Schizosaccharomyces pombe: one gene and its partners. The protein of the gene in region 1 binds, or shares a complex with, the protein of each later gene. Each region holds a gene or a part of one and is shown on either strand. Other genes may lie near its edges. The genes, in order: mrpl23, mrpl20, mrpl25 and mrpl1.

Region 1 (7,900 bases):
ATAGGAAAATTCACGAAAGACAGCTAGTGAAATTAAATGTTAGTGAGATATACTATCGTAAACCGTAGTTATGTAATAGGATCAAGCTAACCAGCGAAGTAACCGCTACCTCCATGAATTTTATCACACCAATGTTCAGCATAAAATGTAGTAACAAATATTGTTATACAAAGTATATCCATTTTTATTGACTATGAATTTATTAAATAATGTTTTCAAGTGAGCAAGACGAACCCGAAAACAGAAAAACAATAAGCCCATAAATTTTTGTTTATTTAAGTAAATATCTCAAGCCGTCTAAATTAGTCATGTGAACTTGCAATCAGCATTACATTTTGACTAACTCTTAGAACTTATATGAAGTAGAAGTTGTTGCCTCGGTACCGCGGTATTATATGCAGTTCATTTTGTTTTGGAGAATGCAAAATCGAGTTCGCTCTAAACAATTCTTTTAAGCAATAATCTTAAAAGGCAAATATTGAAATCAAAGATACGTAGCTGTTTCAACTATAAACAAGTACATTCCAAATTTTAAATCTAGAGATTAGGGTTTTCCACGGTAGTTTAAAGAGCGAAAAGGCATTCAGATGAACAAAAGATGCTAAGTTTTTTAGCTAAACCCGCTTATACTTTCTTATTTCTCGAGGACTTTAGCCTCTCTACTTACCTAAAAGTTTCTGTACAGTGCAATACAGGTTACTTCGTTATATTTTTTAACTGTTGACTACGCAGTTCGGTATCTGTTTAACGATACGAAAAATTGCGGTACGTTTCTCTAGCGACCTACAATATAGCGGTATGCAATATTTAACTAACAATGTATATTTATTGTTATAAGAAGTCTATTAGTATCGGTCACCGATATAGCTAATAACTGAGCTGAGGAACGAGGTTCAGTGGTAGCTCTATTTACAATCTTTCTAATAGTTTTTAGCAATTTATTTATGTATGCAGAAAAGCAATTTATCCGCATCTATCAGCAAACGAATCTTAAGTAATATCTTAGCATATGACATATAGTGATACGCAACGTACTGTATCATAGCTAGTGTAGTTCTGCTAACATTAACATGTACTTCTTTGTTTGTATTATGCATATAGCATTAACCGCGTTAAGCTAAGTTAACGTTACGAAGAGCGTACAGAAGAGATTCAGTTTAGTAACTGCGAATTGTTAATTGTTCTCATAACTTAGCCTACATCTAGTGTAAGACGACGATTGTGAAAATTCACCTTAAAAAATTCAACAAGTCTTGCAAATTATGACTTGAATAATTTTCCATTAAGAAGAATAAGCACACAATGTTTTTTGATGACAAGATAACTTGACATTCTGCCATTCATGCGGTTTCATACACATCAATTAATTTAGTGCATAAATACAATATAACAAGTTATTAAATTTTAGAAGAAGAATGAAAAAGCAATTCCTTGTACGTAAAAACTCGTCAAATTCTCGCTACCTTCGTCGAGATTGCGTTATATGTTTACAAAAAGATGGTCTTCGGGCACAGCTATCTCCATGTGGGCATGACCAGTTCGATTATTCTTGCATATGTCGCTGGATGGATCAATCCTTGACATGTCCCATCTGTAAGAGACACGTAGATTGTGTGTTTTATGGATTTCATGGGTCAAGTTTGTATAAGAAGTGGTATACTCAATCTTTGGGGTCAAATCAGTATTCGATTTCACGACAATTACTACGGCAGCCTTCATTTTCCTCCAGCGAAAACACTGACAGATTGGCCGATTTGCTACGCGTACGACGTTTCATCTATCAAAAGGCATGGAAAAGCTATGAAAATCCCTCGCTTTCATCACATAGGCAATATCAAATACCCACTCCTATCCAACTAGCTTCTAGCGCATCTTTATTAAAGAAAGTGGAAAGCTTTATTGCTAAAGAACTTCTCTTGTTTGAATATTTAGATGGACATCAAATTAACTTTATACAAATCTTTTTGATGGGTCTCTTACGAGTTCAGAATATTCAACATCCACAAACCATTGATGAATTAGCGGAATTTATAGGCCATGAAGAGTCCTCTATACTCCTCCATGAATTGCAAAGATATTTACAATTCCGTCCATTGTCGATAAGCAGCTACTTGTATAGCAAGCGATATTTGTATGGTCCGGAAGGCTTAACAATGGTTCAGCTGTTGAGTCAAATTGAAAACATTCAGCATGAATCTGGTCCTGAGACGGAAAATTCGTAATCAAGCGTTAATTGTATATTATTGCAATTTACTGTGATTCTTTGGGCTTATCAAAAATTAGTTTTATCATTGTATCGTTCATTGCCTTATTTTTTCTAATATATACAAATGGTATTTTTTGAAGCAATAGCTATTAGCTTTATCATGATTAGTAAAGGAGGTTCGTATTATGAATTGAAAAATCAATATTTAAGAAATAATAAATAAAACAACATTTTTGAAAAATAGAAATTTTGTAGGTAACAGTTACCTTACTACAGTTGCTTAGCATCCAATATTTACCCACACCTACAAGCTTGAGGAAACATTATTTGAGCAATTTTCCTACTTCTCTTTTATTAGAAACCACTGATATTGTACTGTCGCTTTAAGAGAAAAATCAGAAGGAACTGAGGATTTTATGATATAGAAATCTCAACGCGATGTCAACGTTGAATGGACAAGTATGAAATTAGTTTGACAGTTTCTTTTACTAACAATATCAGACAGCATTGGCTTACGCCAAAGTTTGGCATCATGTTTCTGCAAAAAATGTTCCTCTAGGTAGGCTGGCTTCCCAAATTGCAACTACTCTTATGGGCAAGCACAAACCCATTTATCACCCTGCAGCAGACTGTGGAGATGTCGTAGTAGTCACTGACTGTTCTGAAATTGGGATTTCTGGTCGAAAACTCGAAAATCATAAATATTATTCACATTCGGGTCAGCCTGGTCATCTTAAAGAGTGGACGATGGAAGAAATGGCTGCGAAACGGGGGCACAAGGATTTGTTGAGAAGAGCAGTTGGTGGAATGCTTCCAAGAAATAAGCTTTGGGATAGGAGAATGAAACGTCTTTATATTTACGATGGAGCTGAACACCCTTATAAGGCAAACATATTTCGTTCCTACCATAATCCTGTAAGTTCGCAAATTGCGAAGGAATTATTCTCGAAATAAGTGTTTAAAATCTCCTTTAATTTTAAAAGGTAGTTCAAAGAACAAAAGCCATATCCCTACTCACTTAAATTTCATTGATTTTTTGCATTAATGTTTGAACATTCCACAATGTCGTATGCCCTAAAAAGCTAACACATTTTAATATTGTTCTTTCCAAAAAAAATTATTTTATATAAATTAATGTTATTGTATTCACTATAAGAAGCTGTAATGTATTTAAAGACACATTTACGTTTGTGAACTGGTAAGAATGAATGTCTGGTAACCATAAGAGGACTACAACTTTTCTTGCGAGTAAAAAGTAGATAACATGAGACGTCGACATAAATAACGACATTTGGAAATTATCTCCAAAGCCAGATAAACGCGCTAAAAAGTACCCTATCGTTGTGAAGAGCAAACAAATTCAACAAACGTCAACCTAAAACCTTGCTTAGCAAAGGCCATATAAAGTAATAAAATCAAGAGCCATTAACTTAGGGAGAAGATTTTACACTTCTTATTAAACATATCTACGCTTTACATTTTAAAAGAAAAGATAGCCAATAAGGAAGAAAATCAGGCAAAGAATGATAACAATATTGGGAGGAATTCCTGGAGATTCGGTTAAAGAAGCACCAGTGGAACTCGAAGGGTCAGCTGAATAAGAGGGCTTGATTTGTTCCAAGGCGTTGTCGGAACTATGAGCACCTGCAGCAGGTTTTGCCCCTTGTAAAGATTCACGAGTTTCAGATCCGAGATTTTCAGAAACTTTTTCAACGGCAGGGGTAGATTCAGGAAGTTTAGAATCGAAATCATTCTTCTTAGTATCAAATTCTTCATTGACAGCTGATAAATTTTGGGGGACGGGAGGAGGGGGGTGGACTGGTGGAGTCGAAGAAACAGAGCGACGAGGGCTTTCTGAAGGCTTTGGAATTTCATTATCAATAATATCTTGTACCTTCGATCTAGCAACATCGGCTCCTTTGGAAGAAGCACTTTCGGCTGTCACAATGGTATCTTTGACAGAAGCAGCACCATTGTCAGCATCAGTAACAACGGTTTGAACTACACTGGCGTCGGGAATTTGTGCACTTTCGAAAGTAGAGCGGAAGGTACTATCTGGAACAACAGTATTAACACCATTGCTTAAATGATCCTTTGCTCCATTGAAGTCATTTTGAGCTTCATCCAAAGACACACCAACCGCCGTAGGGCCGCCGACAGAAGATGCTAAGTTTTCGGAACCTTCAACAGAAACAGGGGGGTTAGAAGTACTAGTGTTCTCAACCTGTTTATCAGCGGATTGAGGAGGTTGCTTAGTTGAATAAACACAGCGGATTTTACGATCAAAAATGGAACGGCCTTGTTTTTCCATTTCAGTCCAAAACTCGTGATAATTTTCGACATTACTGGTATCAGCATCACCGATAGCCATACTTTGAATTAAAAACTTGTCACGACATTTAAAGTCAGGAGCAGGCTCCTCCTTCATAGCTTGAAGCAAAACTAGAATATATGTTAGCCAAGATAATAGAAAAACACTAGAGGCACGTAAAGATAAAAAAAAAAGATGATAGTAGTTTATTCCAAAAAAAGAAGAGCGAAAAACAACAAACTTTAAAAGAATAAAATATAATATCACAACTTTTAAAAGTCCAAAATGTATTTATATCTTATCTAAATATAAAAACATTTGAAAGACATAAAAAAGACTACAAAAAAATAAATGTGAACAGATAGATAGGTGGTTCGCTCCAGAGTAAATAAATTACAAACCTTGTACGTTCACCGTAGATTTTGGTTCAATTTTTCCTGAGTTGGGACGAACACAGTAGTGCTTGGGAGCAGTAGTCTTCACCTTGAAAATGACAGGCTCGGGATTGGGATTATGGACGGAGATGAGCTCCTTCGACATAGTCGTAAAAGGAGGATAGAAAAACAACTCTCCACTACACTCGACACTCATTGTGAATAACTATCTCTATTTAGGTTAATAAATATGTAAAACATTTCAGCACATTATTGGTATTTTGAGATCAGACACAACAACGAGCTCAAGGAATTCGCAAGCGGATGAACTTTCATCTTTTATTTAATGCAAAGTAATAAATCATACCTAAAATATGAAAAGATAAGCGCGTGGACCGCTTCCTAACAAGTTGTACCAAAAATAGGAAACTTCTCAAGTTGGTAGTTGAGTGGTATGCGCGCACCCCATACCTATTTGTGGACGTAGGAAATGGCTAGCAAATGACGGTGAACTCGGTGACCCTCGGTAAATTAATCGGTGAATAGGCTTATTGAACACCATGTAAAAGGCTCGCTACTTTAATTCCGCTATCATATACTGGTTAATTAAATTTCTTATTAATTTTTATTCTTTCAGTTAACCCTCTAATATATGGTATTGTTTAAGGACTTGAAATGGTTAGTATTCAGAATTAATGTAAGTCTTTGCTTGTTCGGTGAGAGATTCAAGTGTAACCAAAATATCACGAACTTCGACTAAGGCTTTTCTTTCAGAGGTATATCTCTTGAGTGATCTTTTCTCTTTTATTTTCATCTGGTAAATACTATCTACCCTAATTCATCACTATCGTTCTCGTTTTTTGCATAACAAACATAGTGTAGCTTGATTTCTACACCCTTGATTCATTTTGCTATTTATTGCGCTTTCCATTTTTAAAACTCCTTTTGCATTGTTAGAAATATTTTCTAGTTAATCATTAAAACTTTTTATTTGTGTGAGGGTAACTCGATAACTTCTTTTAAATCAATGAACATCCGGTCTTTTCTTTTGATTTCAATTTTTACTGCCATAAGTTATCTAGTGGTGGATGGGGCTACTCCTAGAACTTTTGCACCATCTGCCAGTGTCAGTATAAACTATGGTACATTGAGCACCGTATTTCCTAGTTTATACCGAAGGGCCTCAACTTCTTCGAGCTCAAGTTCTTCTTCTATATCCACCAGCCATGATAGTCAACCATCGACCTCCTCCTCATCACCTTCCTCTACTTCGACCAGTTCTAGTTCAGGCACGTCAGTGATTACAGCTTCAGATGTTTCAGCATCAAATGAAATTATTTCTTCCAGCACCAATAATTCTATTCATCAGCAGGTATCTGTTGTGACAGAGTACGTTACCATTCAACCGACTACATATGTTACGACGATATTTCAATACACGTCGCTTGCTTCAACTATTGCTGCACAAAGTGGCATTGCGTCTCTCGTTCCTCAGACTTACACACCCTATGGAGGTGTGAAAGCTCTCATAGGTATTTTGGTGGGTGTTGTGGTTGGTTCTGTGTTTCTTCTTGCTATTGTGATGGTTATTGCTAGGATTTGGGGACCTCGTTTGCTTGCTAACAAAGATCAGAACAATAACAACGAAGATCTCGATAGTAATTTAGTTTCAAAAGACTCGGAGGGAACTCCACAAATCACATACGCTTCAAATTTCTAATTTGTAAGTTTTTTTTACTTGTTTTATTGGCTCTTAATGTTTTGTATACTATTCATTCACGTCTTCTACATTTAATGATAGATTTTGTTTGACGACGCACGCCCAAAGCTTGTTATTTCAATCTTCATCAACTATTGATTTTATTTATAGATTAGTGAAAACAATTTAGTTCATTTTCCACATCATGATAATTATTTTTATAACGGTAAGGCAGATATTGAATGGTTAGTTATGGTGTATTCAGAATTCCTCATTAACTCTTAATGTTTATTACTTCTCGTCAGTATGCAATTCTTTCGGAGTCGATTTATCAGGAGCGGTAGTTTTAGAAACTTGTTTAAAAATAGACAAGGCTTGAGCAACCATACCAGATACATCGCTCGTTGATGCAGGAACAATCATACTGTTGGAAGCTTTGGCCAATTTCCCGAAATTCGTAATATACTGCTGAGCAATGTATAAACTAACGGCTTCCAAACCGTGTTCTTGCTTCTTGATACTGTCAGCTAATACAGCAATGCCAGAAGCAGTAGCAGAAGCCCTAAAAATGTGAGTAATATATTCATATGAAAATAAAGCTTACTTTTCACGAATTGCTTGAGCTTCTGCCAAGGCGGAATTAATAGTTTTTATTTTTTGACCTTCCGAGTCTAAAATTTCTGCTTGTTTGTCACCCTCAGCAACATTGATTGCGGCTTGTCTTTTTCCTTCAGATTCTAAAATTTCTGCACGCTTTTGTCTCTCTGCGGAAACTTGTTGATGCATCGCCATGACCACGCTTTCAGGGGGTCGAATATCGCGTATTTCATGCCGTAAACAACGTATTCCCCAACTTTCAGCTGCCTTGTTGATAGCATCTGTTATATGAATGTTCAGTGATTGACGCTCGCGTAAGACATGATCCAAAGTTAATCGACCAATTTCGCTTCTCATTGTAGTTTGAGCAAGTTGAGATATGGCATAATCAGCATCTTCCACGCCGTAACTTGCCTTATAGGGATCATACACTTGAATATACAAGACTCCATCTAAGCCTAAAGAAACATTGTCTAATGTAATGGCAGATTGAGTCGGGATTTCAAGCGCTCTTTCTTTTAAGGAGTGAATATAAGCAATTTTATCAATAATTGGAGCAAGAAATGCAACACCAGGGGTCAATATTCTAGATCGGTTAGTAACTTAGCTCATCAAATTAAAGTGAGTTTTTTTCTTCATTCGATTTTTTTTTTAAAAACACATTGTTTCGAGCTTGGCTTACCTACTAAAGCGGCCCATGCGTTCAACAACAT
Region 2 (9,059 bases), on another chromosome or scaffold:
GTCAGATAAAAGTTTAGGAGCAACATCAGGTAGCCGTCCAAAATAATGAGCAGTAGTCCAAAAAGGATTGGGTCGAATTACAATTTTTCCTTCCGCATGAAACTCCGCAAGATCAGAGGCTAATTTTTGGACACCTTCGCCTGAAAAATAAGAAGTTAAGCTGTTAAATAAATGGGGGATGTCGTTGACTAAGACATCGGAAACAAACCAGGGTACATCCTTCGGATGTAAAATAATTGTTTCCGCTATTTCTGTTTTCAAAAGATAAGTAGCGAATAAAAGATCAACGAAAAGTTCAAATCCCGCATTATCAAGAACAAAATCGATGCGACCATGACGAACTTTTGAAAGTTTCGACCAAATTTTGGGGAAATCATTCACTAAAATGTTTTTCTGGGATTCCTCAACAGCTTTTTGCCCCTGAAGGCTTTGTAATTGTTCGTAGGTAGCATTTACTAAGAGTCCCAGATCAATGGCGTTGCCCCAAAGTGAAATTTCCGCCATTTCTACAAAAATCATGTATGCAGCCTTGTCATCCTTGTTTTCTTGAATAGAAGCAAGTTCACTGTTCAGGTGTACATATCTTTTGGCAAATTCTTCAATGGCCGACTTGCTAGAACGTAATGTGAAGTCCTTTTGTTCAAAGAAGGGGTCATGGCGATTCCACTCAGAACGGGCTTGAAAGAAAAGACTCATGATACGATAAAAATAGCATCCAGCATAAAGCCAGGGAGCATCGCCCCAAGTCAATGGACCAACTTGTTCCAACTCCTCATTATAGTCATCAATATCAGGCCCTTGACCGACAAGCGGCTTCAGAGGGCGATTGTGTTGAAGATCATATTTGAGTTGATTAAGAAGGCTGATTATTTCCTTTCCTTGAGTAACATAAGCAGCTTTATCGGACATTCCCGCCTCCAATGCCTTTGATATGTTTCGAGAAACCTCGTCAATCACATTCGTAGCTATAATAGGCCATTTTTTCATGACACATACCGAAGCATACGACTCAGGGTCACTGGTCATCGCATAAGCTGTATAAAGTTAGTTATTTTGCGGTTTTAATCTACCTATACGATGCTCGAGCATCCAACTAAGAATCCTCAAGTTTGTTTATATGTCTAGCTAAACCGTTACATACGTTTAGGAGGATGAAGTAATTTGAGACCCATCTTATTTTCTTCAGGTACCTATTTTCCTGTTGAAGGATAGACACGTTTATGAATACGCCAAAACCAGCTTAGCTGAGTACGCCCAAGTGCGAATAATGGAAGATGGTAGAATGCATACATACGCAGGACTTGTCATGAAGGTGAAAACGGGATAGAGAAGTATAACGAACTGCGCTTTTTTAGAGCTTGATTAGCAGTCAGAAGCATTAGGTACGACGGCTAAGAAATGTCAAAACGACAATTCCATCGTAATATTTGTCAGCAAAAAAAAGTTTATCTTCTATAAACCGGCATAATGCATTTTTTTGCGTTTGACTTTTTAGCTTATTTAGAGAATTCACCTGAGGGGCATTTTCCATACCTCTCGTTGTCTCAAATTAACAAAAAACTATGCATTACAGTATTCTCATCTTTCGCGTAAGCTAAGGTTATATCTAAGCGAACTTGATGAGTTCTATCTCTTCATCTTGAATATTATTAAATATATCAATTTTGACTCTGTCTACTAGAGCAGATTAAAGCAAAACACTCCTTTCAATCTTTTATTTTTTTAATAATGGAAACTAGGAAAAACCTATAATATCCAAACTATGCATGTATTCATATGCATTATCACTACTCTTAGTCCACATCGCTTACTTTAAATATCATTTTACAGTCTATAATGGAAAATCATGCATGTAAAAATTTCAATCATTCATTTATGCGTTCATGAAAAACATTATTTCAATTAAAAATTCGCTTTTATCTGTACAAAAAAAAGCAAACTTCTATGAGGGTGTTTTTGACAACCCATGGAATCGTCGTTTGTTTGTCATCGCTAATCATTTGGGTTCAGTTGGTTTATGAGAGAAGAAACTAATAATAACATAAAAAAGAATAACGTTAACAACGTTTAATCTCTCCGACTTTGCCGAGATGTGATCCGGAATGTTTGGCAATACGTTTGGAACAATTAACAAGAACACTTAATGGATAGCAGGTATAGAACGAGCCAATGCTAGGCACTTTACGTTTTCAAATACACAACAAACCCTGTGTGTATTTTTTCAAAGTATTGCCACATAACCCTAAATGGCGAGAATTGGGGATTTCCAATTTAAAACCATTTTGAGGTACCCTTTTTAAGGGCTTCTGCTTGTTCAGTACCCTTGGCTTGCGCCTCTGACAACACATTTTTTACGTTTTCACGAGGTTTGTCGAGTTCATCGACAACCCTCTCCTTCCCACTTTGGAGATAAGATTTTGCCTTTTCAGTGGTTTCGCCAACAGCTTTGTCAAATCGTTGACCCTCATTTTCCACGGCTCTGACGATTTCTGCATTCTTCTGTTCCAATCTGGAAGATGCCTGACGATTATGGCGAGTCATATAATAACCAACACCAACAGCAGCGGCCAAGGCTCCAAGAGTAACACGCCTATTCATGATGCTCGATTAGGATTTCGTGAATTAACCGAGTAAAAAAAAATTAATAAATCGAAAGGTTATATAAAAGCGGTTTTCTCCGTACAACACAAAGGATTGATATAATATTCAATCGAGCGCACGAAAAAAAATTAGATTTTTCCTGAACACTAGTAAATGTTCAATTGTAAAGTAAAACAATATTTCAAAGTAGTAAGTCGCTTTTGTTCAACTCACAACTTTATCGTTAATAAGAGTGCTCACTTCTACTTCCCACTGCTCTATATATAACACTTTTAGTAGCACAATACGGCAACGTAAATGAGATCATTCATATACGTATTAACCCACCCACCCATCATATAATTCTTGTGTCTGACTGATGTCACCCCAAAACTTCTCGAGGTACTAAGTAACAAGGAGAGAAGAGGAGAGAGGAGTGTAGGATTTGAGAATCGCAGTATGCAGTATTACAACAAAGCTGTGTCCACCATACAAATTAAGCTTGTTAGAGTCTGTAAAAACAATGTCTTAAAGCAAAATTCCTCAACTAGGTCGCATGTTTCTTTAGACGATCGTTGGAAAATTGGGCCAACAAAGAAGAGCACGTATAGTCACACAAGCTTCAAAAAAGTAGAAAACGGCGAAACAAAGCTTTAATATAAGTAAATAGTAGCTAGAGATGGATGTATTAATGAAATCCGTAGAATGCAAATTGTCCTAAGGAGATGGATGGATGATGGCTGGTGAGGAAACTTGCAAAAGTAAGTATCTCGTGAGTGTTTATAAACGGTTGATGTCGATTGGAAATCTTAAATAGCAACTGCTTAAAAGCCGAAAAAATATCTTTATTTTCACCACTTGAGGTTTGAACGAAAGGGCTCTCTGTACAAGAGGAAATAAAGATGTTTTTTTACTGCTCGCTGACCCAATTAATTATGTACACCATTGTATATTCTCAGTAATAGTTAAAAGATAAAACCAAAAAAAAAAAAAAACTGGCTTGAGTGTTACAAAAGCAACATACTCTATGATTGAGGATTTCCGAGCCTACTAAGCTGAAATGAAAAATTTCCTCATTTGTTCCAAAAAGGAAATATGTACATGAGAAGGGAGAGGTAAAAATGTAAAACAAGTTCGTGCCTGTATAATAACATTTTAAAGGTTGCGACAAAAATTCGCGATATGCAGACCAATGTGCGTAAATGTTGATAGAAATGTAAAGGATAATTCGTAAAATGCCAGAGAGCCTTTGTAAATTAAGAAATAAAGAAGAATGAAGATGTCTGTTTTTTTTGAAAAGCTTCAAAACTAATATTATTTTCCAAGGAACTTTCAAATCACTCGAGTATTTTGTAACGTGATTGAAACATTAAATAATGCAGTCAAAAACGCTTCCGCATGTGCATCAGAGCTTTATTGAAAACCAGAGTTTTAGAATCCCAAAAACTATTAAATTATTTTAAACCTGTGCTACTCGTTCCAATGTACGGAATGCTTGACGAGATGCACGTTGTCGGCGAATTTCACGCTTCTTTGATCCCCAGGCAAGTTTTTCAGCCTCAAAATTTTCTTCAACTTTTTGAATCCTTTCTTTGGGAGCTTCACAAACTCGTGAAATTAGTAACCGAGTTGTGTTAAACTTTTTAGACAGTGTTCCAGTTGTCCAAGCATTCGGATCTTTCGTCCTCAAGTCTTGGATGGATTTGATATCTTCACTACTCAGTTGATGAGTAGAAAACCTCAACTTTCCTTTGCTTTTCGATTTTCGGCTAACTGCCGGCGGGAGAAACATTGACTCTTTGGAAAGTGAGGTATCACGCTGATGAATTGGAGGTGCATCATAGCGAAAAACAGGAGGAGTAATCCTAACATCTGGAGAAGACGCTGGTGGATTGTAATAAGCAGATGTAGTTTCAGTTACCTCTGCTATTTTGGAACCCATAGGAATTTTAGGTCGCTTAGGAATACGTTGTTTAGGGTATAGCCGGTTCAAATTCCGAGTCTGAATGAAGCCTACAGGCTTCAAAAATGAAGGTTTGATTGTAAACAACATGTTTTTACTCTTTCAACTATTTTAATTTTGGTGTCGCTTTAGAAATGATGCTTTAAATTTTTTTGAGAAAAGGTTATAACACAAAAAACTGTAAAGGGCCTTTTGGATAAACCCACACTTCAAATAATATTAGTTATAACGAAGATTCTCAAAGCCTAAAAGCTATAGCAACGACGTGACAAAAGAGCTCAATGCAAAAAAAAAATAAACAGCAAAAAAACACGCAAAAAATCACTTGGAAGAGTTCTAACTTTTGAATTTACAAGAATCGTATTAAGGCTTGCAATTTTCCGAGTAAAAACACGAAATTACTCTCCAAATGCGGGTTTCCTGGAGTTTAGCAGTCTCTATATGCACAGTATCCACACTCTTAGTTTCAATACGTATAATGCAGTGTGTTTATGGCACCTTAAATGTATATTATATAATTCGTTATATTAAAACTGGTTTTTGGCACTTTGACGGTTTATTAAGAGAAATCGGAAGATTCAAGCTAAAAAATATTGTTAACGGCATTTTGATTGTAGGATAAATTCAATACAATTTTGTTTTGCTGTTTTTTTTTTAAACCATTTCTAATCTGTTCATGGTTCAATTTAAATACCGATTATATTGAATACTGGAAGCATGATATTTTAAATATTAAATTAAATTTATTTTATTTTTTTCAATTTTCCATAGATTTTTAGGAAATGTACACACCTTTTCAAACTGACCCAAATTTTTTGCAATGTAAATTATAATATCAAATGGTTAAGTAAGGGGTAACCTTTTGTTTACAGTCAGCTTCAATTTATCAAGTGAATATTAGCCGCATTGGCCCTATAACTAAAATCGGAATTTATTACAAGAACTATTGATTTCTTATAAGGCCTTAAACAACTACATCAGAACATGTTTCCAATTCTCTGCTTGATTTTAATCAATATTATAATGGTATAATAAATAATTATCGTTATCGTTAATAGCTACTTATATTATACAAGTTTACAAGATATTTCAAGAAGCTTTGGTGGTTTAGTGGTATAATGAATCGTTGCCATCGATTCGACCCGGGTTCGATTCCCGGCCAAAGCATTTATTTTTCTCTTTTTATATTCCATCTGACTTAATTTATAAAAACTAATCAAAAGAACCATGCTTGCGTTTTTTGTGGAGTTGCTCAAGTAAACCAATTCATAAATAATAATAATGGAAATGTTGGTCTATTTATCAATCTAATATGCCTCACTGATAGTACTATACGATTATTAGATTTTGCTTTTACTATTGCAAACGAGAGTGTAGTCTTTCTGCACATTTTAAGGATTAATGCAAATTTTTCCTTTTGAAAAAGTCAAACTACGTTTTCTTAATTAAAGCTGCGATCTTAAGTCGCTCATTTACGAAATTCATATTTCAATCGATTACCCAGTTTCCAAACACAAACTATACCACCTTCCCTCATCTTTCCTTGTTCTCCTTTTTACAATATATTTAGCAGCTGATGGATAGTGCTAAACTTATCTTCATTAATCAAATTAACGATTGTAAGGACGGCCAAAAACTTCGATTTTTAGGATGCGTGCAATCATATAAGAATGGCATTCTACGGTTGATTGATGGATCAAGCAGCGTGACTTGTGATGTTACAGTAGTTTTACCTGATGTATCTATTCAAAAGCATGAGTGGCTCAACATTGTTGGGAGAAAGCGGCAGGATGGTATTGTGGATGTCTTGTTAATACGATCTGCTGTTGGAATTAATCTTCCGAGATATCGACAAATGGTTTCTGAACGTCAAAAATGTGATTGATGAATATCTTATGTAGTTCTGTTGCACCATGTCATTACAAACTCATTTAAAAATATATAGAAAGTGATCACCTTAAGATACCATAAAGGTACTGAATCGTGTTAATGTCAGTCTTTATAATAATAAATATTTATTAACCTCCAGGTTCAAAGTCGAAAACAAACAATCATGGTTAAAAAAAAAAAGGAACGAATTACATCTGTTCAAATTGCTATATACTCTAATTTGAATGTTTAACTAACAAAGATAAGCGTTACCTTGTGGCATCTATTTATTTTTGTTGAAACTTTTATTACTTTGTAAAAACTTAAGACAAATTACCAGAATTTGTTTTGTCTTTCCAACATGGACATGTAATATGTGGCTTCAACATTCATCAAAGAATCCTCTTCCAAACTATCAGTGACTGTGCGAAAGAAATTAAAGCGAAGACGATTATGATTAATCAGACGCTTCAGCACTGAAAATGAGTGAGGTGCATGAAATTGGGAATACTAAACCAAATTTAGAGATAATCAAGCTATTCGGTTGTAGGTGTTGTGTCTGAATATTGACTGGAATCATGTTCGTGTTTTTCGTCGGCGACTTGAACGATCGTTTTCGTTTGAACAGATGAAGAGGCCTTAGTAGAGATGGTATCCGCACCAAACAGGAAATAGCCAAAGAAGGTGCCACAAAAGAGAAATAAAATTACATAGCCATTATAATACATTGCGAGTAACATTGCGATATACGCGACAATATACTGGACTAGATAAAAGCAGGACCGAAGAAAATGAAGAAAGATTCGAAGGGCCATGCTTGGACCAGAATGAACAGGGGCACCCGAATGACAGCAGGAATTGCTAGCGGGAGAAAATCTACGGACACACCAACGATCGAACTCTCTTTGTCCGCGACGGACCAATTCCAATGCCATCATCATGAAGATAATTCCGAAAATACTACCGACAAACATATGCTTACTGGTGATATGCCAATGTTTGGTAATAAAGCAAGCATCGATAGTATACCAGTTCCAATACATGGATAATTTACAAGAAGAAGCCTTTGCGGTTGTAGTGGTATTAGTCATATTCATGCCAGACATGGATGTTGTGCTGTTGGACATGTTCATTCCAGACATGGATGTTGTACTATTGGTCATGTTCATTCCAGACATGGGTGTCGTACTGTTGGTCATGTTCATTCCAGACATGGATGTATCATTCGACATGTTCATAGCAGCCATAGCGGCTCTAGCAGTCAAAATTTGCAAAGGTGGGAGCAAATTCTCCAATTGAGACAAGCTAGAGTCATCTACAGGGCCTTGGGAATTTTGAGCCATAGATGTTCCTAACTTAATGAGGGAATTACCCAGACTTTGCTTTGCAGCGGAGAAGAAAGACATGACTTCTAGGGAAAAATAAAAAACCAGAAGAGTAGTAAATGAGTTTTAGAAAAAAAGGACGAAAGAGTTAAAAGAAAACTTGAAGATTAGGGAAGACCAGTATCTTACTAACTTTGACAATTATATATTTAGATGAAAAATTTTTGTTCTTAAAAAACAAGAAAACAGAATATATGCAGATGAAAATTAACCCTACGAAACACAATGGAGAAATGAATATCAAAAGGAAGAAAAAGAAAATGAGAGACAAGAAAAGAAAGAAAACACAATTATAAAATGAACGAAATTTCGGCAATCAATGGGCAGAATCTCAACGAATTGAAGAGCAAATTGAATTTATACAGATTTCAAAGAAAATATTCTGTTTCTATATTTTGCTAAAAAAAACCAATTTTTCGACCAATATGAAAAATTACAAGTAAATAAACTGAATTTAAACGATTAAACTAACCAACCCAATGTTCTACCAAAGCCTTTCAGTCAAACAATCGTCTCAAGGTTAAGCGTCCAGGAATGTCTCTATCACACCTTCCTTATATATACCATAACCTACGAAATGAGCGATTATTTCTGTCCCTAAAATCAGCTCTTTTACAGCGCAATAATACCTCGATTGATTTTTTCTTCCAACAAAGTAACATCCAAGTAGCAGATGGAGGTAGAAGAAAAATGCCTCATTTTTTTTCATCAAATGAGTGAATCAGTCGGAATCCAGCATCACAAACAGTGACATTTCCATAATTTTAGCACAAGAAAAACACACACCTAAGATTTAGGTAAGACATCCAACCTTTTTGCATAGAGGAAATGTGACATTTTTTAGCATCAGAACCGTTGAGTGCGCTATCCACTATTAGAAGGTATTGTTTTAACGATACACTATTTACAAAAATAACGGTATGTAAGATACAGCATTTCAGTGCAAGCTCACAATATTGTTAATTTTGAGAAGCAAAAATATGGTCACAGCCAGGTTCGAACTGGCGACATTCGACTTATTAGATCGACATGATAACCGACTACATCATGCGACCACTTTTTGAACAATTGCTTCTTTAATATTTTATATACTCTTTTAGTGAGTAATAGAGATGGAATTTTAAGAAAACAGTATTGATGTTTTTTACAAGAAAGCTTGAGTTTAGAGTGAATGGGTTGGAGTATAAATTTATTAGATTTAACATAGTCTATATCGGATTCTCCCCATTTTGGATTCTCTATTTTTTCAGTTCCCCACAATT
Region 3 (7,888 bases), on another chromosome or scaffold:
GACCTCAAGAATACTCAAATGATAACTTTTCAATAGTTGCTGTGATTTTGTAGTAAATTGAGCATCTATCTCCGGATCATTTTCAAAAACTCGACGAATGCCAAGTAACCTTATTAAGCCATGTTGTATCAGCTGGTTTCCAGCTTTAACGACATAAGAATCTTTTTCCAAACCAAATGTTGTCTTGATGGCTTCAAATAGAAGAGAGCAGTTTGTAACAAGTTCGTAGTCACCGAGATGAGAATAAGATTTTCTTTTAACAGTAGACGCCTTCATAAGCTTTAATAATACATTGGCAAATTCCTCAGCGGTATATGGATGATCAACTATGTTTATCAACCCATCAAACTTATTAACGTTAGAAGGATTAATATCCAGCTGAGACAGAGCAGAAGCAAGAGAATCGGATTTATTAGATTTTCGAGAGGTAGGAATTGGCTTTCGGTCGGTCAAATTAGACTTCTTGCTGTTTACATGAGAGAAACGTGAATTGTAGTTGTTTATTTTGACAATTGCGGCTGAAACGATTTCATCTACCCTTCTAGAATATTTCTTTGACCAATTTGCAAAAGGATTTATTACCAATATATTTAATTGCTCCCCAAGCTTCTTGTGCAACGACGCTTCCTATTGTAAATATTAGCGATAATGACCATAAGAGTAACGATTGAAAGTATACCATTAAATAGCTTTCATAAAGCTGGTGTATGGCTGCATCAGAAGGAAGATCATTGCTTTCTTCATTTAAAGGATGGTGCTTATTGAATTTTGAAAACGATTTGAACAGCAAGTCAGAACAAGATGAAGCTGACTTTGCTCTAATATGTAACAACTGTAATACTAAACGTATTGTTAAATCATTAGTTATTACAAGAAGAAGAATTCATGTGCATACGCTTTTCGTTTTGTTCAACACCTTCGTTGATTAAACGTTGGGCACGATTTATTCCCGTAATATAATCCCTTGACCAGAACGAATTTGAAAAGCCGTCCCACATATCTTTTTGATAAAAATGTCTGATGTACAATACACTTAAGTATATCTATGTACTTCTGTTGAGTGCCAGCTAATTAATAGATTAAAGGTAGTTACAAAAGAGTTCTCTTTTAATCTAAAAACGTTAGTTTAAAAAATATTACAGATAAATCAGTAAATTGACATTGAGGATTAGAATTCTCCTACAACTCCAAATAATCCAAGAAGGACTGAAGGAAAAACTTCTTCAAAAAATCACTTACAAAGAAAGCGGTATTAAATATTATTCACAGTGATTAATATGTAATTTTGGTTTTGTAAAGAGTCATGTAGATGTTGGTATTTAAGTGGGTTCGTCGCGACGAGATGTAAACAAACCAAATTACATAGTGCAGTACAAAGCATCGTAAACTGTAATGAATGGCACAAATACTGAAGACAATAGTAAACAAATACTCATACAGACAATGTACACGTACGATTCGTCGGGAGAGACACTGAAAATAGCAATAGCATGGAAGATAATTTTAAAAAAACCGAAAGGAAAAAATATCAAAGACTACATAGAAGCATTGCGGAAAGGAATTGAGGATCAGGAACATTGCGAAAAATACGCGTCAACATTATTGGAACCGCGCCCAAAGACGAAAAAAGATGTTGTTTTGAAAAATAGTAATGTTACAGAGTGTGTGGCTTTAAAAGCCAAACCGTTCTCTAAAAAAATCGAGGATATGGGTAAGTACTTGCACGATGCTTATTAAATCCATCAATACTAGGCCGGTATATCTTCTTATATCTAAAGCATTAGTTATATTAAAGAAAGCCTTTTTGATCTAAAATAGTATGAATTTTCTTTCGTTAACAATCCAATCTAGATATCTTTTTGCTGACCAATGTTCACGAGAATCTTCAGGAAAAGAGGCAAACATCCGGAAGCCTTGCGCATCTGGATATTGAGTACACGTTTAATGGACTTTTTCGATTCTTAAAATGCACTGCTGACATAAAGTTGAAGCAAACAAAAGTATACGAGGGTGCGGATTTTTTGCGCATTAAAACTTTATTCGAAGAAATTTTTATGTTTCTTAAAAGAGATTGTAAGTCGCCGTTGGTTTTAACAAGACTAGTTGAATTGGGAGATTATGTACTGGATCTCATTATAATCACGCAGTCGATTATGCAAAACAATGCCAACAATGGAACTGGAGTGATTTCCAGAGCGAAATTTTTGGAATTTTACGTATTTTTGGAGCAACTGATATTTAACAAGCTCTCATTCGCTTCCGTAGAGCAATTGGAAAAATTACTAGATCAAATTGTTAAACGGATGAAAATATGCTTCACATATTGCAAAAACGATAACCCATCTATCCGGTTGTTATATAGTGAATGTTTTTTTTCGTACGCTGAGATATACTTCCCTTGTCTACACTCCTTCGATGCTCAGCTTTCATCTGCCGCAAGCAAATGTGTCCAAATCTTAAGAGACATAATCACAAATGAAGAATTACAAACTGATAAACAAGAGTTGTCTAAGAGTGCCTACTCTGCTCCATCCATCCTTTTGATTGGCCTCAAAGATATGCTATTTCCCGAAGACATTTCCTAATAGTAATATATTGAGGGCCACTATTTAACACACATTCATTTCTTGCCTTTCCAATTTGACTCCTTTTGTTATCCTAAAATATTCACAACATTTGGTGGAATTTTTCTGGAAATTCAATGTACAAAGAACGTTGTGGTGAAAGTGTTGATCATCATATCCATTCGATGAACTTTGATATTATGTTCCCTTTTAAATCTTGGGCATAAGGGAAAGGTTTTCTGCTTTTAAAAATTGATGGATAAAAGAAACAAAGGAACAAAAAAAGCGAATATATAGTGGCCAATTTGTATTATTTTCAAGTACAGAAGTGCTTTCCAAATTCGTTTACAAGAAACTTTGGAATTTCAATCAACAAGCTATGTTTCTTCTTTTCCAATAAAGCGCATTTAATACAACGCGTTGACAACAAGATTATTGATCAAGTAAAGGAAATTTATCGCACAAGCCTTCATTCATAATCCGCGATTTGATCTATACGCATTGCTATCCTATTCCTTACGAGGGATAAATCGAAGGAAGTGATAATGGATAAAACCACACAAGCTCCAGAGAATTGAAGGTTTTTCAGCTATAGACCTAACTAGAAGAACAGGGATACTTACAGGGCTTATTAATATTCAACATTAAAGAGCGTCTTATCGATTCCTTGTCAACTTGATATCACCAACAGTTCTATGCACTACTAACTTTATGTCACACTGCGTTACATGTCATTATAAATAATTCCTTTAGTATTTCTTATATTCTCCACTAATTGGAGTCATCGAGAGATGACCGGACTTTTCCTACAATAATTTTTACTTTTATTTATGTTTTAAAATACTCAAAATAAGCATGATTGAGCTTTTTTTGCTTACTCTCAACATGTGTCAGTAGGAATCCGTACATGATCTGATATGATAATTTTACTGGCATCAGAAACTCTATAACCACACACAGCTTACTTGAACGGGCCTCATTTGATGGAATCATAGAAGCAATCACAACTAAAAACGATAATGATTGAAAGCGTTTGAATGCTACGTTGGCGGAACACAATCACACATACTGTCAGCCTTCAATAATTAAATAACGCAACCCAACAAAGATGCCTAAGGTAGAGGGACTAATGCGAGAGGAAGCCATCTACGCAGTATGTAAAATATTTTAAGGAGTTTGTATAGTTGCTAATTTAACAACGATATACATAATAACGAAATATGTTAGTGATTTTTATATTTGTATAAAATAATACCCTGGATAATTTTGTATTTATTAACTATAGTACTGCTACACCGTAATATTATATTAATTAGTATATCCATTGGAACTAAATTGAGTAACTAAGAATTAGTCCGACCTAATAAACGCTAATAGTCAATAAATTGGCTTAGAATTGTCTGAGATAATAAACTCTTTTAATATTTCAAACGATGAAAAGTTTCGATTAAGAACTCAAGAATGAACAGTAATGATTGATTTAACGTAATATAGCGCAGTTAAACGTTTGCCGACATCTTAGGTCAATGTATTTTCTAATACTAATAGTGCTTGACTCACTGTCTTTTTGAGCTTCTCTATAGATTAAAGAGGTTTTAACCTTATCATGCCAGTCTTTACCAAGGAAGCTTTGGAACGGCTTCCTATCCAATTAGGAAACTTTTTTAAAAAGTTTCCGCCTGAAAATCCAAATGCATGGACGACAAATCCAAATCGTCAAAATCCGTTTCTCGCAACTCGAAATCCTCAGAATGGCCTTGTAATCAACCCTTACTATTCCAATAGAAGGCAAGCTGAAATATATAAAGAGGCCAGGCTTCAGAATCTGGATAATTTACTCCCCCAACAAATGTCATGGCAGAAAGATTCTACACGCCATATTTTGAAAGGTCTTCTGAATCCTAAAGGAAAAATTAGTGAACGAAAGAGGGATGAGATTTTGGAAAATAGGCGTTTAAAACTTTCGGAATCATTGAAGAAAACTTCTAAATTTAAAAATGAGCGCGTATGTAAACTGTTGTACTTTCATGATTTTCTTATTTCTATCTACTGATTTTGATTGTGAAAAATTTACTATTATTATTTTTTTAATTGTCTTTATTAACACTCTTTTTAGCAAAAAGCTAGCAAAATAGCGAAACCTTCTCCTTTCTAAATTCTTCTTCTGCAAAGTGGGTTTCACGTAATACTGTTAATACCTTTTGATTCCTGTTTGTTTATGACTTCCTTAAATTTTTTTAAAGATTCATTTAAATTTACTGCTATATTACCTCAATTATGTGTTTACTAAAAGTCTTTTATTGTGCAGCATGATAAAAAGACTAATATACTAGTCTATACATTTTTGTAATCTTTACTAATAATATGATTCTACTTTAATAGTTAAATTACATTTAAATATTAGGTTTTGAATCTGCAGACTTAGGATTTTAGAATGTGATTTATTCGTAACTTTTCATTATGAAGTATCTTGTTATCTTTAATTTTTAGGAAGAGCGCATTTAAATATAAAAAAAATATTTAGCACTTTCTCAAAACTCATTACTTGTGAATGAGTAAGTAAGTCATTATATGATTTATGTAACTTTCTAAGCTTATTAGTGCATTTCAAAGCCGACGGAAATTCGTCAAAGTGATTTTAAGATTTTGGGGCATTAAAAAAAAAGATGGACAGTCGAGTAATTTTTTTTTCATCGGAAATTGGGAAAATGCAACTTCAAACAGCATTTTCAACGTCTTCTTCTCCTTCTTCATCTTCTTCACCTTCAAACATTAATTCATTGAAAGACTTAATCAATGGACTAGGAGAATAATCTTGAGCATCTTCCTCGTCAATCCCCTCGAATTCTTGATATCCGAATTTCGTATTTTTGGGTGTTTTGGGCGACTTGGATGTGCTTTTATTAGTATCGTCTTCTTCTTCATCGCTAAGTTCAAGCAAAGGAGATCTCCAAAAATTCACATCAGTAAAGCTTGAGACTTCATCTCGGGTGCTAACCTCGATGGGAGGGAAGAAATGATCGACAAGCTCATTCATGTAAACATAACTACTTCGGTGACCGCTTCGCTGCAACAGTTCAATATGGACTTCGCCAGCAGAATTAATGGTAAAAATCCTAGTTGGTGGAACTCTGACATGGTTATAAGATATTGCGTCTGTAATACGATTGCCAAAGCCGGCGTAAAATGGTGTTCGAGGAACAGGTAAGGCGAAAATATTACAAAGATCACGCAAACAAGCCATTTTAAATACTTCTGGCTTCCTTAAAATTACTTCTCTATGAAGAGCAGCCATAGTGCGATCAGGTGATAAAATAACAGGACCATCGGGTAGAGAGTATCCGTTCTGTTCAATATTCCGGAGATAATGTCGAGTAGAATCGGCTTGGCCTACCGAACGACTAGTTAAATACATAATTTTGTAGCCGTTGTTAGTGATATCGGTATACAATTTGGCAACTCCAGCATGAGTCCAATCCTTGCCGATCAAGGTAAACATATGCCCTAGAGCATCAGATTTGGTAATTGTTCCATCAATGTCCGATATAACGACAGGATCGTTGTGTTTCCAAAAAAAAAGATTAGCAGTGCAAATGGCCTTACCCCCGTTGACTCCAAAGGAAAGCTCATTTTTACCGGGCTTCAAATTTAATGAACGAAGCTGATCAGAGGTTAAACGAAGGGTTTTAGCATATTGAGGATATGACTCGGAAACTGGGCTCAAAGACTGTTCAGATAAAGAGTGTCGACGGCTTAAATCAGAGTCCTCATCCATTAAAGCCGAATCGGACTTTGGAGACGCAGGAGTGCGAGATGGACTTGCAGGAGGACTGTGTCCATAGACCTCCGCAAACTTTTTGGCATCTTCAGAAGCGTGAAACCACAGATTACCTTCTTCATCTTCACGCAGAAGCTTTTCAATCATGGGAAATTCATCCTTGAATGTTTCCCGTGCCAACTCTGCAATGTTTATATTCGCAGCAGAAGATTTATAACCTGTCATGTCAAGCATCACATCACCATTATCCCCAACACGTGTAGGAAGTTCTTTCCCAGAAAGCCTTTTCCCCAATTCCTTTGCCTTTTGTAACAATCGTAAGTCTGCTAGCGTTGTTGCAGGCATCGACGGAGTTCTATCACTTCCAGCCATTTCCAAACAACTCGAATGTCGAAGGTGCTTAAAGCCGGTTGGAGGTGTTTGATCGGCATCGGATTTCGAACGGCGAATTAAATCTCGAGTAAGAGGGAACTCGTAACCGTCCTCCATCAAATAGGTATTCGATTGATCTTTCTCATGATCCTGAGATACTTTATCGAGCTCGAGATCTTGAGGCTCAGTGACATTCTAAAGCAAGACTGTTAGTAATTTTCGTGATTGAGATAAACTAAAAGCCGAAAGTAGTTGTGCAGAATTCTGATACCGTATTCATTAAAATATTGCACATAACTGTTTTCCACCGGACAAGTCAGCCCCAGTTTACTTTTGTACATACAATGGATGGTGTTTGCTTTGGCGAAGTGGTAGGCGACACAATGGGAGATGTTTGAAGTTCTCGTGGAACTGCATTCTCAGTAGCAAATACAAAGAACGCTTCACCTCCATCCCCAAGTTTCATATTAAACCCAGTCAATTGACCATTGACCGAAAATTCAACCTTTTTGTCTGAGGGCAAAAGCAAGCTAAACTTTCCAAAGCGAACATGAAAAGGTGAACATGCTAATGTTTTATCCTCTTGCTCAACCACAATCACGTCAATGGCTCCAGAGAGAGTCGACTATTTACGAACACTGTTAGCATATTTGTTCAATTGTTTAACCCATCATTTCTAATTATTGAGAACTTACTGGATTAATTGCATTCCACGTCTTCGTAACAGAGTCAAACGCTCGTCCTACATATTGCATCGTGCAGCAGCTACGAACAGAGGTAAATGGGATGACTAGCATACCATTATGAGCAAAAGCGTGGGAGGAAGGGCGAGGCAACATCTATGGTCCCTGCGGTCTGTTACGTTATTTGACCTTACAGTCCCATACTATAACAAAAGTAAGCAATGTAAACAAACCACCGAACTTCATAACACTGAACTTGGAAAAAGCGACATTTTTCTTTTCTTTTATATAGATATATAATTTGTTTAGAAAAAATAGAGATTTTTTTATGAAATTTGGATTTTAAGGACCATTCTTGTTTTTGCAGGGTCCCACGCATAAGTCTCAAAGTAAAGATATTAGGAGAACTTTTGCATCCCTTTTTATGTTCCTTTGATTACTGAAGGGCCATTATTTGAAAATACACACGAATACTTTTGATTGTGGCTTCC
Region 4 (8,328 bases), on another chromosome or scaffold:
ATCGGCTATTGAATGCACCAGTTTCCGCTATCTCTGCCTATATTTCAATTGTACAAAAGCCTAATATCGCGTTTCCGGAAATTATTTTGTTTCTTTGGCAAGCAATTTTATATAATAAAGTATGTTCAACGGTCCTTTTATATATATTACATTATTTGTACAGTTGTTTAATTTATGTTGTTACGCGTTCATTATATTTGCTAACTAATTTAAAACAGCGTTTCCGAGCATTTTTGATCACTTCTCCTTATGCTACGGAGTTTTTAACTTCTATTCAGTTTTATGCACTTAGATATCGTGAAGACAATGAACATTCCGGCCTTGTTCGCATTTGCCTTTTTATCGTTCATTATTTATCATGCGAGAAGGTTCTTTGTGAAAAACTAAATAGAAACTGTATGAATGCACAATCATTGATGTCTTCCCTTGGGTTCTCAGTCCCACCAATGTCTTATGCAGAGTTTTTGATTATCGTAAGATTCACGATTAATTGTTTATTTTAATTTTATTACTTACGCCTTCCAGTCTAGCTTTCATATTTCAGCAGTGAAGAGATCTCCGTTTAGCAGTTTATCTCCTGTTATATTGTTGACCATATGCAATATTGCACCATTTGTTGAAAACCTAAGTTTCGTTACGTGTGCCAAATTAATGCAACTCTGTTCATCTCTTTCATCTCCTCGGTTTCTTTTTCGTAATCCGCGCAATCATCTGCTTCTTGAATACCTGTTACAGGCTATTTCTAGTATAGTTGAAAACAAGTTTTCTCAAAACCCTAATCTCAGTTATTCTATTATTCGCCTCCAGCAAGTTTTTTTGAATCTTAATTCTATGAAACTTCCTGCCGTTGCTCAGACTAAATCACAGCCTTTAGTGGCCCTCAATTCGGAAGGAAGTAGTGATTTTGAATCTAAATCATCCGATAACACCTCCTTAGATGGAACACCACTCCAAAATACTGACTTTAAAAAAGTTGCTACCGTTGAAGATGATTCACCTTTCGATGAATTAGATAAATTTTCCTCCCCTTTTAGTAGCAGTAGTTCACGCGGTGGCTTATCACATATTTCGAGTAGAAATGTTTCGATTTCTGTCCCGACAGTCCTTCAAGATGTATTCTCAGATTCTCCATTGGTTCTGTCTAGAAAGTTGCGTGGGAAAATACCGGAAAATGTTTCTAGTTCAGAACTTATTAAAAAATGTGCATCCAATCCGTTTGGAAAAGATTTAGAAATTGACTCAAATTTGTTTGCACCTTCCAACTCGTGGTTTAATTCTTGGCATTCAAGACTTGAATTGGATTCTATTCTAGCCATTATATCTCAGTTTTCTCTACCTGTATACAAGAAAATGAATGAAGAATTATCAACTACTGACGAAGCTGTTAAACTATTAGCTAACTCTGTGCTAAATGATGTACATCCTCGAGTTCCCAATTTTCGCTACTTTATTTGGAGTGTCCCTATGAATAATTGGTTTCAAAGTCTTGTTTGGCTTTATACTTTGTCATTTGATGAAAAAGGTTTAATGGCTACTCCCTCTTTATTTACAACCTCTAAAGTGTACAAACAACATGGAAATATCATGAAAGTTGCATCTCCTGAAAACAGTTCTAACTCAATGGAGAATGCCACAAAATCTATACTTGACAAACTCGATTTGCTGTATTTACAGCTGCCAAGTAGTGTCAACCACGATTCCAGTTTACGCAACAAGTGATTCTTAAATTCAATGCGTAAATTAAAGTATACTTTTGTCCTAAAAAATATTTGAAGAAAACCCTGCATGCATGTTATGGTATCTTACTTTGAAAATTTATTGATTAAATTGTTCACTAAAAAATTATCTTGGAGGATTTGCATCCACATACTGCCATCATTTAATTATATACTGATGACCAGAATCTTGCCTTGCTAATTTTGATTTTTGAACTTTTCGATTTGTTTTCATTCTATTAATTAACTAAAAACTGGCTTGGAGAATCTTCTGCTCCAACCTTGTCACTAGCTTTAAAAAAGTCTTTCGAAGTTTGATTTGGAAAGTTGGTGTTTGAAAGTCAATCTCGTATACTTTAGAAAGACCCACCTTTATGAGAGAAACGATCCACTGATGCTAATTCATTACATGTATCCAAATCAATGTATAACCTTATATAGCAATGAATTGGTTGCTAAAAAATTCTTAGCTTTATTTCGCTACACTTATAAATCTGTTTACTATATAAAATAAAAAATCCAATTTCAAAAGTTTTGAGTCCCAATTTTTTGGGTAACGAGGATTACTTCATAAAGACCTTAGACCTTTCCTTTATTTTTTCCACAAAACTATTTATATTCATGAGTTTGTTTTGTAATTGCAATGAATAACTAGCTTGTCATTTACGAAAATTGCATATCAAAAGTATTTGAGTAAAATCGATATCCTGTTTGGCATAATGGTTCAATTTATAAAAAATTCGTGTGGTTAAGAGTAGAAATATATTTTCGATTTTGCGAAATGCTTAATATGCGAAGATATTGTATTTGAGTACTTCAAAAGAATACAACGCACAGTAAACCTTTTCTTTCAATAAATTATCAGGTAGAGGTGGCCTTATTACTGTTTTTTAATAATTTTTATGCTTAAATACCTATTGGAAGCAAGAAGTAATTATGATTACCAAAATTGACTCACTTCCAAAGGACCTAATTCGCAAAGTTGAAAATGGTGAAAAGTTGTTGCCAAATCAAGAAATCGTTTATTTTGAAGAAAAAACAGTCCCCTATAAAATTAGAAGTGATGAGGAAAGTTTTCCTTTGGGCAAATTGATAACTTTATTAGTAACTTCACAGAGCTTTATCCTTTTTGATGAAGAACAGAATTCTGGCTGGAAAATTCCATATGAAACCATTACTCTTCATGCGAAACAAAGCAAGGATAAGCCATATGTATATGTTCAATTAGAGGGTGAAGCCATTCGACCCTTGCTAGATCACATTCTTAAATTTGAACGGTCGTCAGGAACATTGCATGAAGCTCCTTCTACCGAAGATGAAAATGAATTCACAGATGATTTTTTAGAACTAACATTATATGTTACTGATGTTGATTCATGTTACCAGGCTCTTTGTACTTGCCAATCTCTACATCCGGACACTTTTTCCTCAGATAATGATGTTGAAAACGCGAGTATGGGAAACCCTATGTCCTTATTTTTTGATCCAAATCACCAGTGGGTTACGGCTGAAAACGTAGATACCTCAGCTTGTGATAACAGATTTGATTCTCCGGAATCGCCTGTTCTGAAATGGCATCGCACAGAGTAACTTTCATAATGTTGTATTCTAACGTTTCATTCATACTTTTTAAAAAGTAGTTTATGATAATAAATAAATATAAACAGGCTTCTAAATTTACTAGATAAAATATCATTACACATTTCACTAATTTGTACAAAATTAATCATGTAATACATATTACAAATGACAAGACTGTAGACTAAATTTCCCATGCAATAACATTTTAATCATTATTTATACTGGAGAGGAATTGCAATAGCATGTGAGGCGGAAAGATGAACATGCTTTACGGTAACTTTAACTTTTCCAGGCAGTTTGGCCAAAGTAAACCGAACATTTGATACAAGTGCTTCGATGTTTTCTTGTAGCTCCTTGTCGCTGAACCCTAGTTTTCCAACCGGCAAATTTATCGAGCCTGCATCATTTTGCCGATAGTCAACAGCTGTGAGGGCAGATTCAATGAGTGGCTTCAATTCATCTGATATAGTACCTCGTTTTATTGAAGGCATAAGACGTTTTGATCCTAATAATTTAGCAACTTGTGGTAGTAATTCTGCCGAGTTGGGATGAGCAAAGCACTTTGAAAATTCAAGGGGCTCTGTTTGAATTTTTTTTACTAAGTCTTCTGCACCAACATAGGTTGCACCCAATTTTAAAGCTTCATCTGCAGCTGCACCTTTAGCAAACACACAAATTTTAGGAGGCTCTTGAAATGGATGAGGAAAGGCAATTTGACCACGAGCTGACGGAGCGCGTCGATTACTTTTTAAAGCAATTGAAAGCATATAAGACCCAACATATGGAACAGAAATGCTCACAGATTTGAGATATTTTGTGGCTTCAGGAACTGTCATCGCAAGAGCGGGAAAATTGGATTTCTTGTTTAGTTGAGAAATAAACCTTTTGCAGAAACCCTTTTGATTTTTAAAATTTAAAAATTCATTATGTGACAATAATGTTTGCCGTTTACCTAACGCTATTAATGAACTCATGGTTTTTAATCTGGTTCGTCAAACTGTCACCAAGCTACTGGATGTCAGTCAATGAACCTGCTAAAATCATAAATCTCTAAACAAATCTGATCCAGCTGTCAACTTTCGAATTAATAAAGAATTATCTTTCAAATCAAATTTCCTTATAATGTTTTTGATTAAAGACTAAAAATAAACGGTTTCGTTTAAATTCCACGTTGTGGTAGTTGTAAGATACTGTAGGGTTATACTAGCAAATCCATCCGTTCACGATGTATATATTTTAAGGAGTTAAAAGTTTGTTCATCGGAGTTTTGAGGGATATAGCATTATGAATTTTGTTTCATAGTTATATCTTCACCGCATCTTGTTAAATCTGCGTCAACTGAATAGTTGTTGGTGAATTGTTGTTAACCTTTGTTGTTGATAAAAAATTTTCCTTATTTGAATCTTTAATATGATAGGAATTCATTTTTTGGATATTGGATGTAGCTTCTGGATAGCTGTCCATGTACCCGACAAGTGAAAGCATGTTCGTTGACTCATTACAGTCCTCATCTTGGAAATGTGAGGGCTCAACTGTTACGTACGTAAGAGTTGTACAGGTTGTTGCTCTTGCTCTTGGCACAAAGTATGCATTACTCAGCTTTTTGTTGTGAAGCATGTCTTGTATCTTCTTCAAGTTGGTGGCTGTTGAACCCATCTTAGCAGACCCTCGGTTATTTAGTTTTGTGTTAGCATGGAATACCAATGGTTTTAACAAGTTTCCTTGTTCTCCGTCATGGCTCAATTTTCCTGCTTCTTTCTTTATATCCAAGTTGCCTGATAACTGTCCACTAAGTTCCTTATTTTCTTGCTTACAGTTAACATATTCATTTGTCTGACTGGGTTCTTTGTTTTCACCAGTCTTAGGCTCATTCTTATTTTCAACCTTACTTGAAAGGGTCGTGGGATTCTCAGAGATTTTGTTTGTAGAAGACTCTATTGGCTTTCGGATGGTAACAGTAGAGCTTCTTTCTGGTTTGACGAACAAAGCTTTGTTGTCTTGCTGCGCTGTTTGTTCTGAAGTAGGTTTGTTTGCAAAAAATGCTTGCAATCTACGAATTCTGTCAGACTTTCGCTCCGCGAAGCAAACGAAAATCCTTTTTTTCCCAACCATCATTCCATTCAATGTGTCTTTGGCTCTAACGGCAGCCTCTATTTGACGAAACGCTACGAAACCATAACCTTTGGAGATTCCTGAATTTGGATAGCATGCTAACATGGAAGACAAAATCGACCCGAAGGGTGAGAATAAATCTTCCAGCTGACTCTTGCATGTGATGACGGTATCATCTAAATTTTTAACGTATAGATTTGAAGGGTCAATAGGAGAATTAGGGATACTTGGAGAGCTTTCACGTAAAGAGTCCCAATGCACGATTGACTGAGGTTTATTATCTGGGTTCCAAGCGGCTGGATGATTTTGCTGATTTGAAACACCGGTAGTTGAAACGCTACCCCATTGGCTTTTCTCCTTAGTTGGTGAGCCCATAATCCATGTCATCTTCGAACATGTAGCATTTTCGATATTTATTTGAGTTTTGTTAGCGTTTTCCGATGGGAAAGGCCATAAGCTTTCACCAGTCGGCGTTGTGGGAATTGACTTCACTGAAGAAGAGGCTTTATTTTTTATACTGACCTCTAAAATGCTTCCTTTGTATGGAACGTTATTTAATTTTTCTATTGCCTTAATAATGAGGTTAGTATCATGAAATAGATTATGCAAATATTGGGGTTTTCTCTTCATATTGAGCTTACATTTTGACATGATTCAACTGAATCCATAATCACTTCGCCATACCGGAACCCTCTTTGGTCAAGAAACTGGCTGACCGCCGTCCCTTTTACTACACCAGCCTGTTTAAAGTGGTTATATAAGTCAATCGGTGTGACTTCGGCAGGTAGGTTCAAGATACTAAGGGGTAACGTAGAAGCGAAGGCATTTGGTACAACTTGCATGCTAATATCTTCCAAACCAAGAGACGGTATGGTAAGCGTTGTTTCTGGCTTCGGGTTACGCGAATTTATGCCTCTCACAGTTTCCCAATTTCTTTCTTCGACATTTGGAATAAATTCCTTAATCTGAGACTGTTTGAGTCCTGGCTTAACGTTTTCCTCATCTGTATTGTTTTGGATGCTAGGATTGAACACGTTCGCAGTGATTGACGTATCGTTAGGTTTGAATTTTTTGTCTGTCAGTTTCGCAGGATTTACGACTCTTGCTTTAATGGTCCTTTTTTTTAGGTTAGTAATTTTTTGGAGAATGATTTTTCGATTTTTTTTTCTGTAATGCTTGTCTCTAATTTTTCCCTTCAGTCACTTACAATTTTCTTTGGCCCAGAGTCATTCCTTTAGCGTCCTTTAGAACTTCTTCAATGCTTTCAGCATTAACGAATTTGACGAACCCATATTGCACTCCATTTTTAGGAGGTTTAAAAGGTTTCGCTTTTTCCTTAGGATAAAAACTATCAAGTAATCGACGAAAGATGGATTCTACTTGTCCTAAAGAATTGATTAATATATCGCTTTTATTTATGTTTTCTAATGTTTTTCCTCGTGTTTTTATCCTTGACTTGTGTGTTCATACCATATTTTGAAAAGTGTTTGATGATTTCTTCATCAGAAAGTCGGGAATCTATATTTCCTACATATATAGTACTGCTTTCATCTTCATACTGTCCGGGGACAGAGAGTTTTGAATTGTTCATTTTATCTCAAAAAAGATGTGTGATGGAAAGGAATGGTTGTTGTTTTTGGTATATATAGGATCGCTGTTTGTTTACATTTCGATGATGCATGACTGAAACTATTACCACCATAACAAATGAGAGTAAACAAACCTTAAATTGACCTCTTAACATTTTTAGAGTAATATTTTTTGTTTTTTTTTAAAAATGCTTGTTTTATATTTACAACTTGATTTCCTAATATTCATGCAGTTTGGTTCATATCTGTTTTATCCATATCTCTACTAAATCCTCAAATCGCATTTATAATGACATTTTATTTTATTTTATTATTAAAGTCAATATTACCTGCTCGCATTAAAAAATATTTCAAATTCATACCATCCTTTTTTCGGCTTTCGCTGATTTCAAATTAAAAGTTGAATTTCCTTAAATGAATCAAAAAGCAATTAGGCTAATATTCTGGTGAATCCATTCATAAATTTTCAATTATTGTTGTTTTTGGCAAACCAACTGATATCGCACAACCTGTCAATAAGTTAGGTCAATCAGTTTATTACTCAAAATCCAGATGTTACTAAATTCTTTCATCTGCTTTTTTCTTTGGTTTTCTTTGATTTTAGAAGTATGATAGTTTAGAGCTTTACTCGCCTATATTCTTTGCTAACTAACTATACAGTATTTTACTGGCAAAAGGTAATAGATTTAGATAAAATAAGTTTGAATCGAATGACCATTAAAGTAAGTGAAAAGCAATAGGTGAAGATTTAGTGTAATCATTAAAAAGGTTATAAATGTTAGCAGTTCTCCAATATTAAGAGCAATTTATGTAGCTCATTTCAGTTCCTTCTAATCCATTTTAGACTTAAAGCTTCATTCTGTCGAATACCGTTTTCTTCAAATACTTGTATAAACCTCGGATTTTGTCACTGTTTATGAACAATGAATTCGTCTAAATTAACAAAATGCAAAATTCTTTGTTTTTTTGTTTTTATGATTGTTTGACTGAACAAATAAATAAACATATACAGATTTAAGGGTTAACAATATCCAATGATTTTCCAAGAATATTATACTGCTGGGTTAAGGTATTTTGATATAACATCTACGACACTACTCAATAGACACAACTACTATACAACCTTCGGGTGCCATCAGACAACAATTATTCACTATAGTATTTGTTTTAAGAATTATTAACTTATTAGTAAATGTTTTATTGTGTATTTGGAACTTTAACTAATACTATCTAAAATCCGGTAATCTCGTTCCTTTTTGGCTTTCGAATCTAGTGTGGTTCATATGCGATCCTTTGTTGTGATTAGTTTTTCATAGGCTCAGAGAAATTAT

Evidence for each region.
Region 2: mrpl23 (region 1) and mrpl20 share a complex: the UniProt entries of both Schizosaccharomyces pombe proteins name them as parts of the mitochondrial large ribosomal subunit.
Region 3: mrpl23 (region 1) and mrpl25 share a complex: the UniProt entries of both Schizosaccharomyces pombe proteins name them as parts of the mitochondrial large ribosomal subunit.
Region 4: mrpl23 (region 1) and mrpl1 share a complex: the UniProt entries of both Schizosaccharomyces pombe proteins name them as parts of the mitochondrial large ribosomal subunit.

What each region holds. Positions count from the first base shown.
Region 1 is NC_003423.3:4,217,259-4,225,158, forward strand, and holds mrpl23 (mitochondrial 54S ribosomal protein uL13m), read left to right. Parts: upstream 1-2,514; 5' UTR 2,515-2,644; coding exon 2,645-2,665; intron 2,666-2,707; coding exon 2,708-3,160; 3' UTR 3,161-3,358; downstream 3,359-7,900. Other genes in the region: mrz1 (ubiquitin-protein ligase E3), read left to right, coding at 1,416-2,222; scs2 (VAP family protein), read right to left, coding at 3,687-4,648, 4,919-5,108; SPOM_SPBC16G5.06 (uncharacterized protein), read left to right, coding at 5,919-6,611; SPOM_SPBC16G5.07C (prohibitin), read right to left, coding at 6,882-7,152, 7,195-7,773, 7,870-7,900. UniProt on the Schizosaccharomyces pombe protein: Component of the mitochondrial ribosome (mitoribosome), a dedicated translation machinery responsible for the synthesis of mitochondrial genome-encoded proteins, including at least some of the essential transmembrane subunits of the mitochondrial respiratory chain.
Region 2 is NC_003421.2:817,218-826,276, reverse strand, and holds mrpl20 (mitochondrial 54S ribosomal protein mL58), read right to left. Parts: upstream 4,983-9,059; 5' UTR 4,634-4,982; coding exon 4,040-4,633; 3' UTR 2,800-4,039; downstream 1-2,799. Other genes in the region: duf89 (cobalt/nickel-dependent phosphatase), read right to left, coding at 1-1,034, 1,142-1,172; SPOM_SPCC1393.12 (uncharacterized protein), read right to left, coding at 2,272-2,598; telomere cap complex subunit Ten1, read left to right, coding at 6,120-6,428; Cu(2+) transporter complex subunit Ctr4, read right to left, coding at 6,949-7,818. UniProt on the Schizosaccharomyces pombe protein: Component of the mitochondrial ribosome (mitoribosome), a dedicated translation machinery responsible for the synthesis of mitochondrial genome-encoded proteins, including at least some of the essential transmembrane subunits of the mitochondrial respiratory chain.
Region 3 is NC_003424.3:4,990,727-4,998,614, reverse strand, and holds mrpl25 (mitochondrial 54S ribosomal protein mL59), read left to right. Parts: upstream 1-4,107; 5' UTR 4,108-4,170; coding exon 4,171-4,569; intron 4,570-4,680; coding exon 4,681-4,719; 3' UTR 4,720-4,991; downstream 4,992-7,888. Other genes in the region: rga9 (RhoGAP family GTPase-activator protein), read right to left, coding at 1-627, 680-840, 896-998; meiotic recombination protein Rec24, read left to right, coding at 1,444-1,711, 1,852-2,585; lipin, phosphatidate phosphatase Ned1, read right to left, coding at 5,281-6,909, 7,058-7,339, 7,410-7,469. UniProt on the Schizosaccharomyces pombe protein: Component of the mitochondrial ribosome (mitoribosome), a dedicated translation machinery responsible for the synthesis of mitochondrial genome-encoded proteins, including at least some of the essential transmembrane subunits of the mitochondrial respiratory chain.
Region 4 is NC_003424.3:1,787,974-1,796,301, forward strand, and holds mrpl1 (mitochondrial 54S ribosomal protein uL1m), read right to left. Parts: upstream 4,479-8,328; 5' UTR 4,271-4,478; coding exon 3,509-4,270; 3' UTR 3,427-3,508; downstream 1-3,426. Other genes in the region: ftp105 (Ubp5 interacting protein Ftp10), read left to right, coding at 1-119, 219-473, 526-1,719; protein saf5, read left to right, coding at 2,652-3,305; poly(A)-binding protein Crp79, read right to left, coding at 4,620-5,978, 6,050-6,524, 6,616-6,793, 6,879-6,999; protein Mmc1, read left to right, coding at 8,327-8,328. UniProt on the Schizosaccharomyces pombe protein: Component of the mitochondrial ribosome (mitoribosome), a dedicated translation machinery responsible for the synthesis of mitochondrial genome-encoded proteins, including at least some of the essential transmembrane subunits of the mitochondrial respiratory chain.